Oryzias latipes: one gene and its partner. The protein of the gene in region 2 purifies or fractionates together with the protein of the main gene of each other region. This does not show direct contact. Links are inferred from orthologs where the notes say so. Each region holds a gene or a part of one and is shown on either strand. Other genes may lie near its edges. The genes, in order: rsu1 and alpha-parvin.

What was found.
Region 1: the proteins of alpha-parvin (region 2) and rsu1 purify together in Homo sapiens (affinity purification with mass spectrometry; 3 studies listed by BioGRID and IntAct, counting the BioPlex papers as one, with this or other methods). This does not show direct contact. The link is inferred for Oryzias latipes from reciprocal best matches to the Homo sapiens genes PARVA and RSU1.

The regions. Positions count from the first base shown.
Region 1 is NC_019878.2:1,153,795-1,161,402, reverse strand, and holds the start of rsu1 (ras suppressor protein 1), read right to left. Parts: upstream 4,125-7,608; 5' UTR 3,456-4,124; intron 3,344-3,455; 5' UTR 3,340-3,343; coding exon 3,231-3,339; intron 1-3,230. Other genes in the region: trdmt1 (tRNA (cytosine(38)-C(5))-methyltransferase), read right to left, coding at 5,913-6,097. UniProt on the Homo sapiens protein: Potentially plays a role in the Ras signal transduction pathway. Capable of suppressing v-Ras transformation in vitro.
Region 2 is NC_019864.2:716,999-724,264, reverse strand, and holds the end of alpha-parvin, read right to left. Parts: intron 3,111-7,266; coding exon 3,038-3,110; intron 2,321-3,037; coding exon 2,244-2,320; 3' UTR 1,823-2,243; downstream 1-1,822. UniProt on the Homo sapiens protein: Plays a role in sarcomere organization and in smooth muscle cell contraction. Required for normal development of the embryonic cardiovascular system, and for normal septation of the heart outflow tract.

The DNA of each region.
Region 1 (7,608 bases), on a different chromosome or scaffold from region 2:
CCAAAACCACTAAATCCAGTCCAGAACCACTAAATCCAGTCCAGAACCACTACATCCAGTCCAGAGCCACTACAACCAGTCCAGAACCACTAAATCCAGTCCAGAACCACTACATCCAGTCCAGAACCACTACATCCAGTCCAGAACCACTACATGCAGTCCAGAACCACTACATTCAGTCCAGAACCACTACATCCAGTCCAAAACCACTACAAACAGTCCAAAACCACTACATCCAGTCCAAAACCACTACATCCAGTCCAAAACCACTACATCCAGTCCAGAACCACTACAACCAGTCCAGAACCACTACAACCAGTCCAAAACCACTACATTCAGTCCAGAACCACTACAACCAGTCCAGAACCACTACAACCAGTCCAAAACCACTACATCCAGTCCAAAACCACTACATCCAGTCCAGAACCACTACAAGCAGTCCAAAACCACTACATTCAGTCCAGAACCACTACAACCAGTCCAGAACCACTACAACCAGTCCAAAACCACTAAAGCCAGTCCAGAACCACTAAATCCAGTCCAGAACCACTACATCCAGTCCAGAGCCACTACAACCAGTCCAGAACCACTAAATCCAGTCCAGAACCACTACATCCAGTCCAAAACCACTACAACCAGTCCAAAACCACTACATCCAGTCCAAAACCACTAAATCCAGTCCAGAACCCCTACATCCAGTCCAAAACCACTACAACCAGTCCAGAACCACTACATCCAGTCCAAAACCACTACAACCAGTCCAAAACCACTACATCCAGTCCAAAACCACTAAATCCAGTCCAGAACCCCTACATCCAGTCCAAAACCACTACAACCAGTCCAGAACCACTACAACCAGTCCAAAACCACTAAATCCAGTCAAGAACCACTACATCCAGTCCAGAACCTCTACATTCAGTCCAGAACCACTACATCCAGAACCACTACATCCAGTCCAGAACCACTACATTCAGTCCAGAACCACTACATCCAGAACCACTACATCCAGAACCACTACATCCAGTCCAGAATCACTACAACCAGTCCAGAACCACTAAAACCAGTCCAAAACCACTACATCCAGTCCAGAACCACTACAACCAGTCCAAAACCACTAAATCCAGTCCAGAACCACTACATCCAGTCCAGAACCACTACATCCAGTCCAGAACCTCTACATTCAGTCCAGAACCACTACATCCAGAACCACTACATCCAGTCCAGAATCACTACAACCAGTCCAGAACCACTAAAACCAGTCCAAAACCACTACATCCAGTCCAGAACCACTACATCCAGTCCAGAACCACTACAACCAGTCCAGAACCACTACATCCAGTCCAGAACCTCTACATTTAGTCCAGAACCACTACATCCAGAACCACTACATCCAGTCCAGAACCACTACAACCAGTCCAGAACCACTACAACCAGTCCAAAACCACTAAATCCAGTCCAAAACCACTAAATTTAGTCCAGAACTACTATATCCAGTCCAGAACCACTACAACCAGTCTAAAACCACTAAATCCAGTCCAGAACCACTACATCCAGTCCAGAACCACTAAAACCAGTCCAGAACCACTACAACCAGTCCAAAACCACTAAATCCAGTCAAAAACCACTACATCCAGTCCATAACCACTACAACCAGTCCAAAACCACTAAATCCAGTCCAGAACCACTACAACCAGTCCAGAACCACTACAACCAGTCCAGAATCACTACAACCAGTCCAGAACCACTAAAACCAGTCCAAAACCACTACATCCAGTCCAGAACCACTACATCCAGTCCAGAACCACTACAACCAGTCCAGAACCACTACATCCAGTCCAGAACCTCTAAATTTAGTCCAGAACCACTACATCCAGAACCACTACATCCAGTCCAGAACCACTACAACCAGTCCAAATGCACTGAATCCAGTCCAGAACCAGTACATTCAGTCCAGAACCACTACAACCAGTCCAGAACCACTACATCCAGTCCAAAACCACTAAAGCCAGTCCAGAACGTCTGCATCCGGTCCAGATTCTCTGCATCCAGGCTAAGACCACTGCATCCAGTCCAGAACCTTTGCATCCAGTCCAGAACCTCTGCATCCAGTTCAGAACCTCTGAATCCAGTCTAAGAACTCTACACCCGGTCCAGAACCTCTGCATCCAGTCCAGAACCTCTGCATTCAGTCCAGAACCACTACATCCAGAACCATTACATCCAGTCCAGAACCACTACAACCAGTCCAGAACCTTTGCATCCAGTCTAAGAGCTCTACATCCAGTCCAGAACTTCTGCATCCGGTCCAGAACCTCTGCATCCGGTCCAGTACCTCTGCATCCAGTCCAGAACCTCTGCATCCAGTTCAGTACCTCTGCATCCAGTTTAAGACCTCTGCATCCAGTCCAGAACCTCTGCATCCAGTTCAGAACCTTTGCATCCAGTCTAAGAACTCTACATCCAGTCCAGAACCTCTGCATCCGGTCCAGAACCTCTGCATCCGGTCCAGAACCTCTGCATGCAGTCTAAAACTTCTGCATCCAGTCCAGAATCTCTGCATCCAGTCCAGTACCGCTGCATCCAGTCCAGTACCCCTGCATCTAGTCCAGAACCTCTGCATCTAGTCCAGAACCTCTGCATCCAGTTCAGAACCTCTGCATCCAGTTCAGAACCTCTGCATCCAGTCCAGAACCTCTGCATCCAGTCCAGTTCCTTTGCATCTAGTCCAGAACCTCTGCATCAAGTCTGAAACTTCTGCATCCAGTCCAGAACCACTACATCCAGTCCAAAAACGTCCCTGCAGTTCTACAATTGTATCCAACTTGAAAAGCTCTAGACGTCCCTGACGTCACTGTGACGCACACAGCTGGCTGCTCTCCCTGTTCCAGATGTGCAGCGGAGCCTTAAGTTCCTGTTTCTTATCAGGTAAGGATGCAGGGCCGCACGCGCACGCACGCTCCTGATGCAAACCCATCCTATGAGTGGCAGTTTAAAACTCCTGCAGCCCCGCAGAGGAGCCCCCGCAGGAGGAGCAGAGGAACCCCGCAGCAGCCCATGATGCGGGGAGACTTTCTCACATGGAGCTCTGAACGGGTCCTGTGTTTGCAGGTACCCCCCACCCCCACAACAAATCCTGCTTCCAGTTTTCTCTCTTTCCGGGACTCTGCTGGGCCGATGGACCCCACGTCCGCGGCCACGCCCCAGACCCCGTATGAGCACGAGCGTCTTACACAGTCCCGGGACGTCCAGCATGTTGGAGATGCCCCGGTCGGACATGTCCACCTCGGGGAGACTCTTGTCTCGACTCTCGTCCACGATCTTCCTCAGGGACTTGGACATCTTTCTGAAACGACACGGACACGGCGTCAGCTTGGTGCTTCCGGTCCACCGCGAGCGCGGCTCTGACCGTCCGCGCCTGCGCACCGCCTCAGGAAAAAGAGTCCGTGGAGGCTTACCGTTCTTCTGTGGAGCAGGGTTTCAGGATTTTAGGGATTTTTCTTCAGGATAAAAACTTCCCTTCCAACTCACAGCGAACCGGAAGTTGTACTGACACCCTACGCTCCATAAAAGGAAACTTCCTGTTTCTGCAGCGGGCGGGTCCGAGCTAACTCCACGGATCACCAGCACGATTCCTGAGCCTTTCTTTAAAAGTTTTCATTATATATTCGTCTTTTTACACCAATGATCGATATTGAAGCGGCAGCCATTAATAGTTTGATCTCGTCTGAAGGCAGAACCGGGACATCCTTCCCGAGGGGAAAGATCCTCATCTATCCCACAATGCTTCGCGGTCGCAAATTATATTTTTCCATAGAGGCTAAATACATGTTAAGATCTGTTTCTTTAAAAAACAAAGTTTAGTTAGAGGATTTTATTGTGTATTTAATATTTTTTTAGGCGGCTGCAATGGAAAACTTAATGACTGTAAATGTGACCGTATGTTTACAGTCAATGGGAAAGCATTACTTGGTTGATTGCAGTTCTCTGTCAGGTCATCCAAGATCATGTAGAGAGCATAAACCACTGTGTCCAGGATTTGGCTAGTCTAGTTTATTTTATCTTAGTAAGTAGCTATTGTTCATTTTTTATGACTGATTCTGTGTTTTCGTACAATTATTTATTTGAAGCCCATTGAGATGACTATGTTGTGATATTGGGCTAAATAACTACTTGAATGTGTAAGTCCTTGAATTGAATATAGCCAAGAATAAATGTGAAAACAGAGACAATAAAAACATCGGTCGCTGAGTTGCCTTTCTGTCCAGACGTTTCCACAGATGGTCTGACCGACCCACCACCCATTGGTTGCACAGGATATCCTTTTAAGTCCAGACCCAACACGATGCACATCTACAACCTGTGATTTATACACAAACCAATTGAGCAGATTCTATCTGAAATTATCAACGCTTTCCAAAAAATGTGAAAATCACGAAAAAGTATATTCTCAAAAAAAAATGTACACATTAAAACGCTACTACAATAAATTTTGTTTCAAACATCAGAACGCATTACTAGTTTCTTTTGTTCCTTTTTTTTTGCAGATGAAAAGGATTCAGTGAAGAAAAATTATTGATTTGTAGAAGTGGTTTCTGATTTGTGTAAATTCAATAAAAGCTAAAATACAGTGTATTTTTCATAGAACGCAAATATAACATTGAGCAAAATGACACAAACGTCCTAAAACTGGTATTTTCTAAAAATAATAAACATGAATCCACCGTGTCTGCAGCTTTTTTATCAGTGTGACTCATTCAAAAGTCAGTTGCTGTGTATTAAACAGAGCAGCTTCTACTAAAGTGAGAACAAACGGTCTTAATAAATCCGTATGTCGAGGAAAACTCATGTTTTTCTGTAAATAGCAGCCTTATGTTTTTTAAGTCGAAGACTCGGTTTTCTCACTGGCTCTCTTCTCCCTGAAGAAACAGCATTAAGCGGACCATTCTGTTGCGGACTAAAGCTTGTAAACAAAACCATGTGACTAAAGATCTTTTCAGTCATTGGCCAGGAACTGCCACCTGCAGCTAAAAGCAAAAATCAAAAGACCTTTTTTTTGCAGTTCCTTCACATTACCTCCACTATACGGTGATCAGTTTTTAGAAACTTTAATGTAAAATTTGACATCAGGTTTTAAAGACAAAATGAAAAATAATGAAACCCTCTGGGTCCCGGGGGCAGACCCCAACTCTAGTGTAGAGTAAGAAATGATTCATTCACTGCACATTAAAGGACAACCAGGACAAGCAAACCTTTGACAAACAAAGGTTCACGCTGACGTGAAGAAATCAGTGAGTAGAGTCAGAGCAGCTCAGGAGGAGACATGGATGAACACAACACCACAAAGTGTTGTTTAACATGTTCTTGTTCCAGGAACTCAGAGCATTCTTTCCATTTTTATTGTGGTTTTACAAAAGTACAAATCGAGTTTGAAATTAAATGTCAGGGAGAAAAGAGATAAACTTAACAAAAGTGTCTTCTTCTGTGTATGGACCATGTTTTTCTCCATGAACACTGGATGCCCATACCAAAGAAATCAAAGATCACTACATGGTGGATTAAATCAATTCATTTCTTCTATTCATTCCATTCATGTTCCCCATCAACTTACATTGCAGCATTTGGCTTTGAGGAGTCAAAACAGCAGCTTACGAGAAACAGAGCCCCGCTGGGACGGGAAGGCTTTTTAAATTCCTTCACAAGTTGAAGCTTTCATTGACTAAACGAAGGTGAGGAGTACCAGGACTGTGATGATGAGATCCTTTATGATGAAGATGGATTGCTGGAGTCCTACTATGAAGCCTCATCGTTCATCAAACAATAGAGCCAGCAGGGCCTGTAACAATGGTATCACACTGGACTGTGCCAGGATGAGGCTCACAGGAGGACCACTACAAGATGTCCTTTTGATTCATTTAAGTGTCCACAGCTGAGCCTGGCCTTGGTTCTGGGGGTTGTGGAGCAGCACTGCTTGAGTTCTCACAGCTGTGAGTTGGCTGTATGGAAAACAGCAACTGCACCAGCTTGGCCACCAGTAGAACGTTGAGACTGTTTCCCAACACGCGGTACCGCTGGATGGTGGAGATGTGCTCTGGAAATGCTGCAATCACATCCATAGAGAGAGGAACCGATCAGAGGAGATGGATGGCAGCGGCTTTTCACCTTAACCGCTTAAGACGCTAGCTAATATTAGAGCTAACCCTCTATAAACAGGTAATATGGGGAATCTTGCTCTGGGCCTTTACTTTCACACGTCTATTCTGACATATGAAGGGCTTGGCGTCATAGAATTCCAGAAACTGCATTTATTATTTTTTCTTTTAGGATCAATACTCAATGGTTACCACGCCTGTGTTTTGAAAAGGACTCCACCCACACGTCACTACTTCGTGTTCCTGACTGGTTTAACTTTTGATGCATGTTCAATTGCCGTGCGTTTTGCCGGTAGAGCCCAAAAATAGTCTTGCGTAGTGGCGTGTGAATGCGAGAGTATCCAACGTGGAATCCTGAAACATGCATATATGTGTGTTTACATAGATTTTTAATTGGAAGTGGTCGTTTCGGAGCACGGCGTGAACGTAGAATTCCATGTTCAATGAAAGTTTCTGCATGCAGCCAAAGCGGAGTAGCGTCATTTACTTTAAGGCCACAGATACAAAATGAGCTTTTGTCCACCTCACTGTGCCAAACAATTAACATTTAAGCAAACTGGTAAACTCTGCAGTTTATCACCTGCAATTTTAACAGTCCATGTAAATACTGCATCAAGTAAAAGCAGCAGAAACACAAGCTCACCAGGCACAGGTGTTTTTAGTGTTGCTCAGTAAAATAGAAGGTTGTACTTTTGACTTTTGACAGATCTCCAGTGTCAGATTCTAGTCAGACTCAAACTTTCTGTAGTTCAACAAACATTGAGTTAGGAGATTCAACAGGCAGACATTTTTAGCACATTAGCTGGTCATCAAAGACATTCTTCTTTGATCAAGCAGAATCTGCTTTATGTGTTCATAATGTGTCAAAGTCAAACTTATGCTAAGTTTTAGAAAACAGGCTGATGGCGTTTTGTAGTCCCTGATCCTTCTTTAATGTCTGAACTTAGACACTCACACGTTTTGGGCAAACATGGATTATTTTGTGACTAATCTCTTTAAACTGAAGACAACTTCTTTGTCTTTTTGTTTCCTATAACCCTTGTGCTATCCTATGGGGTCCAGATGACCCCACCCTTCCATTGACGTCTTCTCCCTAACATGACAAAGGTGGATAAAGGTGGAAAGACTTCATGTAATCCATGGACACCAGTGAAGATCACAAATCATTGAAGAAAAAAGGTTCAGAGCACTGTCTAGTGGGTCTAGATCAGTGTTTTTCAACCAGTGTGCCGCGGCACACTAGTGTGCCGTGGGAGATGGTCAAGTGTGCCGTGAGAAATTGCCCTCATTAACTGATCTAAAAGCAATTACCATCTCCAGGAAATCAGCTCTTTGTTCATCCAAACAGGCCCTGATAAAACACTGAGAAGTTAAGAATATGAAATATCATAAAATTAATTTCTTTGTGTTTATTTAATTCTATTAAAGACATTTTGATAAGAATAACGGGATACCACGA
Region 2 (7,266 bases):
AAATACATCTGTGAACTAGGCCCAAAAATTCTGACTATTGATTCTCATCATATCCCTCCTTCAATGACTGAATCCTCAATCACAGTCATATTGAAAAAAGGGAAAGACCCTCTGATGTGTTTGCGAGCTATAGACCAGTAAGCCTTTTGTGCTGTCACGCTAAACTTTTAACAAACGTTTTTGCATGGCGAATGAACTAAGTTGTAGGATTAGTTATTAAACCTGACCAGGTCGGTTTTGTCCAGGGCAGAAATTCCTCTGGTAGTTTAAGGCGCCTCTCACATTTAATCTGAAAATGCCAATACTTAAAATGCTCAGTGGCTGCTCTGTCGCTAGATGCAGCAAAAGCGTTTGACAGGGTCTGCTAGGATTACCTACAATATGTACCTGGAGTTTTTGGATTTGGAATATCCTTTCGGGAAGTTATTAAAATGATATACACTCACCCAAAGGCCGCCGTAACAACTAATGGATTAAGATCGTCACAATTTAATCTGGAACGTGGCACCAAACAGGGGGATCCCTCTTTTTATTAGTACACTTGAACCACTGGCACAAGCTATCAGACAGACTGACTCAGTAAACGGGGTAACAATGGGAGGGAGGCCTTGATAACAAAACGCTGACTTTTGCAGACGACATAATGCTTTTACTCTCAGATCCCCAAGAGTTATTACCCCACTTATTTAACCTAATTAAGGTATATTCAGAGCTATCAGGCTTCAAGATTAACTGGACCAAAAGTGAAATAATGCCTCTATCGAAATCTTGTTAGAATACTCAGATTCAGGATTTGAAGCTACCATGGACTCCAAAAATCTGTAATACCTGGGTTTACTTTTGAACCTGAGATTGGACAATATCATACAGGATAACTTTGAACCAACAATCAATAAAATAAATGTATTTCTGAATGGTAGGGATAAACTGCAGATTTCATTATGGGGTAGGGTCCAGGCAATAAAAATTATTATAGCACCAAAACTGAACTATTTATTTAACATGTTACCACTTACATTTCCACAATCCAATTAAATCCATTGAGAAAATGGTAAACAGCTTTAGTTGGGCTGGGAAAAGGCCCTGAATTACTTTGAACAAATTCCAGATTAGAATAGAATTCAGAGGATTAAGATTACCAAATTTGCAGTTCTCCAAAGAGGCCTTCACCAGTGCACAAATAACAACACTTTTATTAAACAAAGATGACAGACCAATCTGGGTGGACTTAGAGTCGGAAATAAACTCTCCATTCAAAGTTTATGATTATTTGTCCCAGCAGCCTACCGAATCGGTTCAATCGAACCCAATCATCAACAGACGCTGTCTACAACATCCACTAAGTTTTTCACTATAGCCCCAACTTACTGTGAGTCGTGTAAATTCACCTCAGGGTTTATCCTCAACACAAAACTGACTTTAACCCTTAATTCTCCTGTTTTGGGGGCATAGGACACTAAAAGTAATTGAAAAGCAGAGAAGAATCACAAACATGTCCATCCAAATGCCTCTGCAGCACTGCAACATTATCAATAATACCCCCCACAAAGGTTACTGTGGAATGTAAGGAGAATGAAGCATTTCACACATTCAGCCAGTGTGCCATCTTCCTGGAGCCACTCCGGGGTCACCTTCCATTCACAGAGCTTTCGCGCTGCTTTTCTAACAAACCATCAATTTAGTGAAAAGAAAATTGTTGTGGAGGCTCACTTGTCTTTCTGCGCCAACAAAATTGGAACCACTCTGACCCCAGTTTTTCTTTTGTTGGAGAAGCATTCCTCTTGGCTGGCTTTGAGAGGTCAGAAATAATAAGGAGAAATTGTTCAGCGTTCAGCCAAAGAACTGTTTATTACATGTAACGCATCTGAACATAAAGCCTGTTTGATGCTCCAAACAAAGGAGGGAAAGCAAAAACGCAGTTAGATTCAGTCAGACTGAGCTGGTCCCACATCTGCAACGCTTTTATGCAAGTTCAGCTACAACTAAACATCTACATACAGAAAAAGACTTGGCTTCCATGTTTTCTTCTGTAGCATTACAGCAAAAAGAAAAAAGAAAGGAGCTCATCCATCGCAGCATCCAGGAGGTTGAGCTCAAAAAGGCACTTAAGAAAGACGGAACAGTTTCCGAATCTCAAATAAATACATGATGGTGAGTGGAAGAGCTCTGCAGCAGAAAAGCTGCAGGCCTTCATGCGTGCAGAAAGTGGCGTGTGTTCAGGTGAAGCTGCAGCCACAGAGAGCTCAGTCCACGTTCCTGTACCTGGAGAAGAGGTTGTAGAGGACGCGCAGCGTAGACTTCAGGTCACAGTTCACGATGTCTGCAGAAACACCAGCATCCATTTAAAAAAGGCTTCATGAAAGAAACACTGAGAAACCAGACGAATACATGTCATTATCGTTTAGTGCGCCATTTTGCTGTTTAATGACCCTGGAGAACCCACTGGCTCAAATCTGTTTTTAAATTTCATTTATTTACCTCTATTGTGTTAAATGTTTGTATTTATGTATATATGTATTTTTGGTAGCTCCTAATTGCTGCTACCCAAAACAAATTGACAAAAAAAGGTCAAATTTACTTTAAAAGCCCAAAAGAAAAACTGTTCTTGCGCTCTCCAGGTTTAACTTTTAATTTCCTGAAATTGAAAATCATTCATTTAAACAAGCATAAAGCTTTAAATTCTTTTTTTTTTTAATCAAAGCACGTGAAGAACTGCTGTAAAACCTGATAAATCTGTGGAATCCATACATTTATAACCCCTCCACCCCACAGATTGAGCTCCAAACATGATTCATTGTGTACATTTATCCGTCTTAAGCTGTCAGACTAAGGCCAGGACCCGCTAGACCGCCATTCATGCTCTTATTTTGTAAAATCCTGTTGAAACGACGATAACTTGCTGCATCAAGGCTTTCATAGGTGAGGACAATAAAACGACTGAACAACAGAAAAACAGAAAGTATTCAATCCAGGCACTAAATATAAGGCTACAAGTGAAGCTACAAGAGAGCCAAAGTGATGTAAACATGCGGCGTACCCTCGGGGCGGGGCTTGGGCCGCTCCAGACCGCCGTCTTGCATCAGCTCAAAGGAGAAGGACACGTTGTGGACCTGCGCAGACAGACGAACACGTTAACGCAGTCAGAGGAGATGCTGCAGCTGCACGTGGAAACGTGGCGAGCCATCAGAGTGCAGCCGGGGTTATCCAGGGAAGAGCCCTAATGCCAGGGAGGGGTCCCCATCTGTCCAGCCAGCACACGACAGCAGGAACACCTGAAATCGAGGCTCCCTGATGAGAAAACCTGGAGGAACAAAACAGGAGCGATTCCACAGCCACAGAAAAAAGACAGTTGTGAGAGGAGGAAAACCAATCAAGGGGCAGGGGCGCCGGAAGACTCTTTCTATTCACCCCTGTTGTGCTGTGTGCATGTGTGTGTGTGTGTGTGTGTGTGTGTGTGTGCACTCATGGGGAAGGACTAGAAGCTTTGCCCATTGAAACCGTTTGTGAACTTAGTCCATCTGACAGAGGAGAGATCCGCTCTGACGTGAAGCAGGATGGCTTTCCTGAACCCCCCCCCCACACACACACACACACAAACACACTGCAGGGTTTCTGGCCTTCAAACACCCGCCACGCACACACGGGGGCCTGCAAAGCACTCCAGTGTTCCTCTGTGCAGCAGGAGATTAAAGGCGCTGAGGGCCGCTCTTCCGGGCCAGCACCGTCTCTGTGTGCTTGTGAGGCGGTGCTGGTGCCGAGCACCGAGGCCTATTTTACCAGCAGCTTGGCAGGGGATGCTGGCTGAAGCCCAAAAGGAGGCTGTCCCTGAAGAAGGCCTGTGCAGAACACCACAGTGCTGCGGAGAGGAGTCGCTAATCACAGTTGGAGCTCAGCTGAACCTGTAGGTTTGGAGTCTTCTAAAAAGGAAAGCTTTAAATACATTTAGAAAAAACTCCAGTCTACCTTCATTTATAAAGCTCTTCAATGTTCCCCTTTTGGGATCAATAAAGTATAATTGAATTAAATTGAATCATCTCCACAATCTCACAAAATCAAGTTGGATAAGATGAGTAAACATTTCTGTGGTATTAAGAGCTGCTTTTAAACCGTGGGCTTGAAAGTAAGACTTCAACAAACAGTCTGACATGGGGGGGCTGCAAAGTTTGGGGGCTGCTGCAGCAAAAGCACCATCACCTCTGAACTCACACTTTGTGTGTGTGTGTGTGTGTTAAGAACCAGCTGATCAGTTGAGCCTGGCCCGTTACCAGAGGGCAGTCCGCGCTGCCCAATGTGATTGATTGATTGATTGATTGTTCCAGTTTCACACTCTGTATTGGTGTCCATAATTGGACATGAGAACCTGGCTGAAAGCTTTCTAATGCTGCACCGCAGCGACCGCAGCTCCGCCTCTCCCATCTGTAACAATCAACCACTTCTTTTAGCATTCTGCTGTTAAGGAATTCTGTTTTAATTAGAAAATATAATGATGAAAAAAGGGGCGGTGCTACTGGTGCAATCAAAATGAAATCTAACTATTTAATCTATTTACAAACAAACATTTTTAGAATTATCACACAACCAGATTTAAGAGACACAGTCAAGACCATAAATATTTGGACAGAGACACATTCTTTCTAATTTAGTTTCTTGGCATTACCACAGTGAATTTTAAATAAAACAACTCAGATGCCATTGAAGTGCAGACTCTCAGCTTTTATTCCATGGGTTGAACAAAAAGATTGTATAAAAATGTGAAAAACTAAAGCATTTTCTAAACACAATCCCTTAATTTCATTAGCTTGTAAGTAATTAGACAAATGAAATAACTGAAAACCAAATGGTCATTCCTAATATTTGGTTGAAAAGCCTTTGTTGGCAATGACAGCCTGAAGTCTTGAACTCATGGACATCACCAGATGCTGGTTTTCTCCTTCTGAATGCTCTGCCAGGCCTTTACTGCAGCGGCTTTCAGTTGCTGTTTGTTTTTGGGCCTTTCTGTCTGAAGTTTAGTCTTCAACAAGTGAAATGCTGCTTAATTGGGTTAAGATCAGGTGACTGACTTGGCCATTCAAGAATATTCCACTTCTTTGCTTTAATAAACTCCTGAGTTGCTTTGGCTGTATGTTTTGGGTCGTTGTCCATCTGGATTATGAAACGCCGGCCAATCAGTTTGGCTGCATTCACCTGGATCTGTGCAGACAGTTTGTCTCTGAACACCTCAGAATTCATTGGGCTGCTTCTGTCCTGTGTCACGTCATCAATAAACACTAGTGTCCCACTGCCACTAGCAGCCATGCATGCCCAGACCATCACACTGCCTCCACCGTGTTTTACTGATGATGTAGTGTGCTTTGGATCAGGAGCTTCTCCATACTTTTCTCTTGCCATCATTCTGGTAGAGGTTGATTTTGGTTTCATCTGTCCAAAGAATGTTTTTCCAGAACTGTGCTGGCTTTTTTAGATGCTTTTTAGAAAAGTCCAATCTAGCCTTCCTATTCTTGAGGCTTATGAGTGGCTTGCATCTTGCAGTGTACCCTCTGGATCTACTTTCATGCAGTCTTCTTTTGATGGTAGACACGGATATTGATACGTCTACCTCCTGGAGAGTGTTGTTCACTTGGTTGGCTGTTATGAACGGGTTCCTCTTCACCATGGAAATGATTCTCCCATCATCCACCACTGCTGTCTTCTGTGGACGTCCAGGGGCTTCATTTATAAAACTTTGCGTAGGATTTGCGTCAGAAGTGGCGTACGGATGAAACATAGGACGTGCGTACGCACAGAAATATTCGGATTTCTAAAACCGTGCGCACGCACATCCTACGCATCTTTCCCTTAATAAATCACAACCGATTTTAAATGTAGCGCAGCTTTTGCGGCTTCATGACACACCCATAGTTGCCCATAAATAGTCCGTGAAACGCCCACAAGTTAATATTCATTGATTGCGAAACCATGCCAAACACTGAGAGAAAATCAAAAATACGTAACTTCACTCAATGTGAAGTAGAAGTTATCGTTGGCGAGGTGGAAAAGAGGAGAAAAATGTTGTTTGGAGGGCACAGTGTGGGCATTACTAATGCCAAAAAGGCCCGTGAGTGGCAAACGGTGGCAGACGCCGTAAATGCTGTAGCCTCACAACCTCGGACCGTGGCCGAAATAAAAAAGAAATGGTCGGACATCAAAGTCGAGGCAAAAAAACATCTAGCGCTCCATTGCCAGAGTGTCTCTGCCACCGGGGTTGGGGGGGTAGGGGGTGGGGGTGGTGGCACCGGAGCGCCAGATGCACCGGGTGACACGCGTGGTTCCTCCGAGTACTCTTCTGTAACGCCGGGCCCAAAAGCCCGCAGAGGTCCAAGAGGACGGCTCGAGGAAGTCGGAACCAGCTCATAAGCCACTCGTCCTCGTTTGCCAGCAAGTCTTCTTGCTGTCTAAAGATGCGTTCACTCCGAAATCTTCCATTTGCCACATCTTCTAAGAGTGCAAGATCAGCCATTGTGCGTCATTACGCATTGTGATGGGGCATTTTATTTCCATCCATTTAATTACATCTGACAAGCTACAGATGTCGGTAATAATCCACGTGGAAATGGGAAATTGATCAGCGCAAATGTAATTTCTTGTTGCTTTCTGAATGGTTGAGACATACGCCATACATTGTTTTATCAAAAATAAAACAAACTAAAGGCATATCCATGAATACCATAATTCCATAGCTTATGAAGAAATGTTTTAATATGAAAACAACTTTCCCCAGTGGACAATTAGTGCGTCTGTCTGTCTGTCTGTCTGTCTGTCTGTCTGTCTGTCTGTCTGTCTGTCTGTCTGTCTGTCTGTCTGTCTGTCTGTCTGTCTGTCTGTCTGTCTGTCTGTCTGTCTGTCTAATTGCACCTATATCTGCTCCGCCAGACGGACACATTAACGAGAATATCAGTTTTGTACATTATTTCGTTCTGTTAACTATATTATTTATGAGGATGAATTGCACAACATGCCAATATTGTAGAACATATTTCACTTTTCTTTTTGCAAATAAGTGTTCATTTGAATTTCTATTGCAATTTTGGTTTGATTTTTTTTGTTTGTTTCACTGCTGATCGATCAAACGGGTGTTCGTGTAGCTGTTAATTGTAAGACTTGCTTTGTGAAGTCTTCAATCTAGCCACAGGGGTTGCAAGCCAGTTGCCTCTGTGCCGGTCCCAAGCCCGGATAAATAGAGAGGGTTGCGTCAGGAAGGGCATCCGGCGTAAAAATTGCCAAAATAAC